2 linked regions of the Daphnia pulex genome follow. The protein of the gene in region 1 interacts with the protein of each later gene in a biochemical or structural test. Links are inferred from orthologs where the notes say so. Each region holds a gene or a part of one and is shown on either strand. Other genes may lie near its edges.

Region 1 (4,513 bases):
GCGGTGGTTGGGTTGTGGGTAATGGAGGTGGTTCAGCAGATGCAGCGTCGTTGGTAGCAGATGCAGATTTATTTTCGGAACTAGCCGGCGTAATTTGCTAAATAATTCCCACAGCATAGAAACAAAATTAATTTCAAAAAATTAACCAACACCAACTTCCCCCATAAAAACTGACACAAAATTGATTGCAAAGAATTGGTTTAGTTGTTTCGCATCGCAATCAAAAGTATAACTGATGCTGGTGGTCTGAAGTAGTAAATAATAGCGTTGACGTACCCTCATTTCATTTGACACTCACAGGAGACATGGGATAGATTCGACACGAGATAGCCAATTGCGGAAACGGATAAAACGATCCCCACACTCAAAAATCGACTGAAAAATCGTATATAAACTCCCGGAGAGATGGAAAAGGCGGACCGCACGCCGCACTGTGCGATGATGATGTCCGTTCGCCCCGCCGGAATAGACACCAAAGAGCAAAGCAGTGCGACAAACAGGATAGGAATGGGCCGCTGGAATTGTCGGCAATCTGCCAGCGATTCACACGGCACCCCCTGACAAAAAGCAAAATCCCAAAAATATCGTCGAGCTCGTCCTGCTGGTCGTATCTTCCCTGTACCGGGGCAGTTCTCCCCCGTGAGACACCGCCAGCGCGTCAGTGAGAATCAATCTAGACATGCATGAATAGATTTGGCCTTCATTGGAAGGCATTCGGAAGGTGTAGCCAACGGGATTTTAATGGTAAATAACATCATGTAAACACCCGTGCAAACAAAAAAAAAAAAGTTTTATCAACTGAGGTGTACTATAATAGCTAGTAATCGTTCAGTAGATTACAGTAAACTATCAGAAAATATGAAACAAAATAAATAAAGTTTTTACTAGATTAACGTATCGTAAATAATAACAAGTTTGTTTTTTTGCCTGAGCATGCAACTATTTCAATTGCCTAGAGTTGAATGAACTGAATACTTCCTTGTCAATTTACCGAATCAAAAACCCATCCGAGTTCTCGAGATGTAGTTTCGCAGGAACAAAATCAACACTCGCGCTTATTGTGTGTGCCGTGTTTGAATGCAGCTGGCCTTTCTCTCAGACGTCACGGATTTAAACTTTATATATTCCTCTGGAAGAAAGTCAAAAATAGCTTGGCATTCAAGGTTTCCAACTCTGACTGCCGGCGCGTCATTGCCACGGTTATAGGAAGCCACCTCCGTCGTCAGAGACTATTCTGCTACCAAATATTTATCAACAACGATATCCAAATCATTAGCTACACCTCATTTGTCCATGCAAAGCATTTCAAAAGTTTAATCTTGATTAAATACCTACCGGAATTATTCATCTTCTATATTTAATTCTTTGTTTACTCTTATCTTTACACTCTTGTAGCTAAATAAAATATGTTTTTTAAAAAAATAGGGAATCGATAGATTTGTACCATCTCGGTGATGGGAATAACGTAAATTTTCAACACATTCATTTCCGGTTGTTTTACCGGTCTTTGTTGTGTGTTTTTTTTTTTTTTTTTTTTTTAAATTCTCTTCACGCCCATATATCTTCCACCTTCGTAGGGCGTGTAGCATACCGCGTGCGTACTGTCTCTTTTACTGCTTTTCGCGGCTTTTGCACTTTTTGGTCCAGTGCACAGCGCACTGGCTTGTTTAGTTATTTATACTCTTATGGAATTTTCTTATAAATATATCATTGTTATCCCTGTGTTATATGTTCACCACTTCGTCAGATTTAATCATGTCTATCTGGCTCGGGAATCATTTTCATCACCTTGCCAGTTGGCCTTATTCGAAAATACAGCGCCATCTCTGATCCAGATATTTACATGGGAATATTGTTAGTCTAAGCTTCGCTAGATGGCTTCTTTTGTTTATAGACAATTCATTTCTGATTAAAATCCAAGAATCGTAATGATCACTACAATTATATCCATTTCTTAACAGCGGTAAAAGAAGTGACACTGCTTTATTGTGGTTTCTTAACATTCAAATTATCTAATAAATCCGAGTTGAAAGTGCGTTGAAATGGAAGACTATGAGGTATTAGAAAAAATTGGAGAAGGATCTTTTGGAAGAGTTTACAAAGCAAGACATAGACACTTGAGAGGTTTGGTTGCTCTCAAGTTTATTCCAAAAGTAAGTGTTATAAATAAATTCCTTTCCATTTCATTGTAACAAATTCTATACTTTGCGTTTGTAGATTGGTAGGACAGAATGTGAGCTGCAAAGCTTGAGACACGAGTTTGAAATCCAGAAAGGCTTGCGTCACCCAAACATTGTTCACATGCTTGGTGCCTTTGAGACATTTAAAGAGGTAATCAAGAAATTTCACAATTTATTTGTTGTAGTTTTGTGTGTTGATTATTAACGATTTATTTCTCCATCCAGCTAGTTGTTGTCACTGAGTATGTTGAAAGTGACTTGTACAAACTACTGGAAGATGGGACACTCTGTGAAGACAAAATGCGAATGGTTGCTTGCCAGTTGCTATCTGCTCTCTACTACCTTCATTCAGACAGGATATTACACCGTGACATCAAACCTCAGAATATACTGCTGACAAGTGATGGCATCATTAAACTTTGCGATTTTGGATTTGCAAGATCCATGGACCTCAACACTTATGTGCTAACATCTGTCAAAGGAACTCCATTGTACATGGCCCCAGAAATCATAGAGGAAAAGCCATACGATCATAATGCAGATTTATGGTACATTTTTTATTGCAGATATTGTCTCTTCAAAGATTTGTTGATTTACCCTTCATTTTTACAACAGGTCCTTAGGTTGCATTTTGTATGAGCTCCTTTTTGGATCGCCACCCTTTTGCACCACATCTTTATTGCAACTAATACGAAAAATTCGTTACGAAACCGTGCCTTGGCCCACAAATCTGAGCCCAGATTGTTTCAACCTCCTTCAAGGTCTCTTGGAGAAAGATCCTCGCCGCAGGCTAACTTGGCCTCACTTGCTCGAGCATCCTTTCCTGGAGAACAAAGTTCTGCTCCCACCTGAAAGACGTATGTTCAATACAATGTTCCTTTTCTGGTAAAGGTAACAAATTTCACTGATTCCCTCTTTACCTTCTCTCTAGTGAGACCTCAGCTTCCCTTAACGACTGCCTTGACGGCTTCGCAGGAACTGGCCAAAGAGATTCAAAGACAAGATCTCTCCCAAAAGATGCCGTTCAAAAACAAGTGAACATTGTCGTGCTGATTATTTTATCCAATCCTTTAACTGAAATTTATTGGTTGTTCTTTTACAAGGGTTTTCACGCGAGCCCTTCAGAGATTAGAAGAGTACGAACGACGCCGAAATAGCGCTCCAGTTTCTCAGCCCAAACAATTGCTGGCCCATCCCGCCGCCGCCTTCCACAGCACCCAATACAATCCGTACGTCACTTTAAACAGAATTTCTAAAAGTCGCGTTTTTTTTTAAATTTAAAACTTTATCATTTTGGTCGAATAGTGCATTTGGAGACTGGACGCGTCGCCAAAGTGCAGCCGTCGACACCCACCGTTTACCGCCTGCCATCGATCCACGGATCAGTGAGAGGCAGCAATTGCTGGAAAGAATTTTAGAAACGACCAGATGGCCGACCAAACAAAATGTGGCCGATTTCGATCCCCTCGATCCTGGCACCAACGCTCATCATTTCTCCCTCATTCAGCCAGCCGTGCCCAACCCGCCAAACAACCAGCCGACTGTCGAAGAAACTGTTTCACCTTCCATCGAGCCCAAAACGGAGGTAAAAATCGATGTGCAGTCCTATCATAGAAGAAAGGATTGACCAAATGATGATTGATTCATTCTAGGCCAAGGAAACGACAACTGGCGAAGTTGCGGCCGCCGCAACCGCCGCCGCCGGTTCGTTGCTGTCGAAATCTCTGGAAAACGACGAATGGGAAGAGTTTCTTGACGGAACGCTGGCCGACGCCATAGAGAATCCGCAGACGCTGGAGCAGAGGGATCTCGTCGCCGTTGTGGTGGCTCCGTTACGCAACGTCAACGCCAGCCCGAGCCTAGTCGAACGTATAGCGACTCTGCTGGCCCTGCCTTGGGCTGGAATCGACCGCGAGGAATCAGTCGACGAAGAATTAATCGTCCGCGCCTACGCAGACACCCGCGTCGTGCCCAATCTCTTGTACGCTTGCAAAGTAATGGTTCAGAGAAGATCTGGCGATAACCGTAGCACCGGGTAACTCCTCTTTTTGTTTATTTGTCACAGTCTAAATTCCATTTCTCATTCTCCCATGTGATTTCATTTCGTTTTCTATTTTTCTTTTTTTTTTGGGTTGTGCCCAAAAACAGGAGCATCGACAGTAAAAAGACGGACGCCGAATTGACGGCCGACGATCTGCAGTCCTTAGAAATGCTGCTGGGTTTGATGGCCCGTCTGGTGCACCTGAGTACGACCGCAGGTAATCACTCATCGCGAGCTCTTGTGTAACTGGAAACGAAAGTGGGGGTGGCTAATCATTATTTTAATTTTCTAT
Region 2 (2,863 bases), on another chromosome or scaffold:
CTAATAGGTGAAACTCGTTTATCAACTCCAGAATCTGTAAATAATGAATCATCATCTAATCATCCAAGTAAGTACTAAGTAGTTGAATCAGTTTTGAATTTTCAACCTATAGTCGATGATATCTTATATTTTTTTAAACACTAAACATCTTTGTTGCTTCTTGGCAGTTGAAGGGAGCCTGAAAGTCGGAGGCGATGCGGAAGACGATGCATGTCGAGAAATGCGACATTCTGCTGAGATTTCAGAAAAACGACAACTCCTTACATGGAAAACGAACAAACAACTTAAAAAAGCTCACCAAACCCTTGAGGAGCTCAAACGGACAGTTTCTTTGAAGGTTAGCTTGCCGATCTGACGTTGATCTCCCCAGTAATTTTTAACTATCTTTATTATTATTTTCTTTTTAAAGGAGGAATATGTGGATTTTACTCGTGACAGCAAAGAAAACGAACAGACAAAAACTCACCAGGAGAAAATTCAGAAATCGCTTAAGCAGGATAGGGTCCCTCATCAATCCGATCTAAATATTCCACCCCGCCATAGGAAACAGTCAGAAGACAACAGTGATGAATGCAGCAGTCCCATCGAACAAGAAAGCGACAACGTCACTGACGGTGAACGAACAATCGGCCAACAGCGGGCTGAGATTATACGCTTTGAACACTGTTTAAAAAACATGGCAGAGTTGCTAGATCTAACTGCGCGGGCTCCTCGGAAGTAATTGCATTTTACATTTGTGAAATTCTATGGATCGTTTGACTCAACTAATGGTACTTTATTTATTCCCATTTTAGAGTTGGCGAACTGGAGCGAAGTCTGTCCATTATGAAGGACCAGCAATCGGTTCTAAAGGAGCAGCTTCGTCAAGAGAACGAGAAGAAAAAAGAGTTGAAACAAGAAATAGAAAAGGATCATGTGCGTATAGTTGAACTTGAACGTCAGCTACAGGAACAACGAGTTAGTTCCGAAATGCGTTTCCTTGAACTTTGCAGTGATAAAGGTAGATTTAAAAAAATAATAATAATCTAATATTCGCCCATATTATATAATAACACGGCAATTTTCTTTTGTTTGGACTCGCAGACGGCACACCTGGTGAATCTGAATTGGAGCACAAGTGGCGCTGGCTGGTAGCAGAGGAGGAACGTTTGGTCGAACTGCGTACAGCCATAACGTGGCGCTCCGAAGAACTAGAAGAGAAGCAGAGTATACTGGAAAAAAGGGAAATAGCCCTTGACAAATCGAAAAATCAAAGCGAAACCGAAAAGAGCCACACAAGTTCCATCGGCGATGTAGGAAGCAAGCGGAAAAAAGATATGGAGTCAAATGATAAAGTAATTGTTCTACTAATTACACATCTTGCGTAACAATTCTAACCCTTTTCTTCCATCAAATTTAGATCGTTCAAACATCAGGCAGTTCGTTTCTTAAATATAAGCTGTCCGACCTACAGTCGATATCCGGAAATGATAATCCCACTGACAAGGAGGCCATTCGCAAAGAGATTCGTAAAATGAGACACACGAGAGACTCTTTGGTTCAACAACGGCAAGAACTCGACGAAAGGCAGCACAGGGTAAAAGTCCAGTCCCGAATTGTAATATGATGAATGCCAAATTCTCATCCTGTTTTAATTTTCACGAAAAAATAGGGGCGCGACTTGGATGCCAGCGAGGAACGCCGCATGCTCGAGTTGGACGAAGCCATTGAAGCTGTTGACGCAGCGATCGAGTACAAGAATGAAGTTATTTGCAGTCGACATTACGAATTGAAAAGCTCGGTGAGTGTCGGAAGAAAAAAAAACACATTATCAAGTCACGAGCCACTTTACATGCTCATACATATTTATTTCCTTTGGCAGACGGAGGACGGATTGCTGTGTAGACTCATGAGTTTAACGCACACTGAAACACGCTCTCTCCTTTGTAAATATTTTCAAAAAGTGATTGATTTGCGGGAAGGCTCAAAGAAGATGGAACAGCAGTTTGCGGAATTGGAAGTACGACGGCTGATTTATTATATTTCATCTTTTTTTCCTTAAATTACATTTCCCTTCGTGATATTTTTGTTTTTCAGGCTCAATTCGAGGATCAAAGTCGTTACGTCCGCAAATTATCGGCGGCGTTGAAGCACACGCAGCTGGAAATGGAGAGGCGGCAGCCGTCGCACCAGCGACATTACGAGCCCAAAGCCACCACGGTTCAAAGGCAACTCGACCAGGATTCGAGCGTCTGCGGCGGCGGCGGCTACGACGGCGACGGGAAGTTGAGTCATCTGGACGACGAGTCCGAGTACCAAAACAGCCGCGACTTGCGAAGGCAGCTGCGTGACCTCTTGAGCGTCACGCCCAAACATCGAACGGGAGGCAATAGCAACACCGTCTCAGGTGTGGTGCCCGTTACTTCTGAGCTGGCGCCAAGTGCTTGCAGCAGTCGCACTCCTAGTCTGTTGGGTCTTCAAGCTGTCCAGGCCTTGCATCAGAAGATTACAGGGCTGCACCGCATGCGGGGTCGACAGACGGCGCCGGAAACGACGACGACCGTAACGCGAGAGAAGAACAAACTCATTATCAAACAGCAGACGGTCCAACCCGAAACGAGAGATACCAAACGCCGCCATCGCTGATTTATTTCGGTTTGCTTTGCTTTTTCAGCCAAATGTAATAACCATTTGTCCGTTGGTCTTCCAAATTTGTTTTCATGAATTTTGACTGGAAAACAGGTGCGAGTTTTCGACGATTAAACGTGAATGAAAATGTTGAATCTGATGGTTGACGAATCAATGGCGGGGGGAGAAAGCTTTGGTGCAGTTCATTGGCGTATCGGAATGTTTCGTCGGCGCACACACCTGCAACGTTCGGTGC

Evidence for each region.
Region 2: the proteins of serine/threonine-protein kinase fused-like (region 1) and kinesin-like protein KIF7 form a complex in vitro, tested with the Drosophila melanogaster proteins (4 studies listed by BioGRID, with this or other methods). The link is inferred for Daphnia pulex from reciprocal best matches to the Drosophila melanogaster genes fu and cos.

Annotation. Positions count from the first base shown.
Region 1 is NC_060025.1:6,992,248-6,996,760, reverse strand, and holds the start of serine/threonine-protein kinase fused-like, read left to right. Parts: upstream 1-1,522; 5' UTR 1,523-2,042; coding exon 2,043-2,153; intron 2,154-2,217; coding exon 2,218-2,331; intron 2,332-2,405; coding exon 2,406-2,728; intron 2,729-2,795; coding exon 2,796-3,037; intron 3,038-3,111; coding exon 3,112-3,214; intron 3,215-3,283; coding exon 3,284-3,409; intron 3,410-3,485; coding exon 3,486-3,765; intron 3,766-3,832; coding exon 3,833-4,215; intron 4,216-4,328; coding exon 4,329-4,438; intron 4,439-4,513. Other genes in the region: E3 ubiquitin-protein ligase lubel-like, read right to left, coding at 1-97, 277-282. UniProt on the Drosophila melanogaster protein: Probable serine/threonine-protein kinase; maternally required for correct patterning in the posterior part of each embryonic metamere. May be involved in control of cell division during metamorphosis and ovarian development. May interact with costal-2.
Region 2 is NC_060028.1:3,201,451-3,204,313, forward strand, and holds part of kinesin-like protein KIF7, read left to right. Parts: coding exon 1-67; intron 68-167; coding exon 168-337; intron 338-409; coding exon 410-717; intron 718-794; coding exon 795-1,000; intron 1,001-1,083; coding exon 1,084-1,334; intron 1,335-1,399; coding exon 1,400-1,576; intron 1,577-1,651; coding exon 1,652-1,780; intron 1,781-1,861; coding exon 1,862-1,999; intron 2,000-2,076; coding exon 2,077-2,625; 3' UTR 2,626-2,634; exon of another isoform or gene 2,635-2,759; intron 2,760-2,863. UniProt on the Drosophila melanogaster protein: Regulates cubitus interruptus (ci) processing by recruiting multiple kinases to promote its efficient phosphorylation.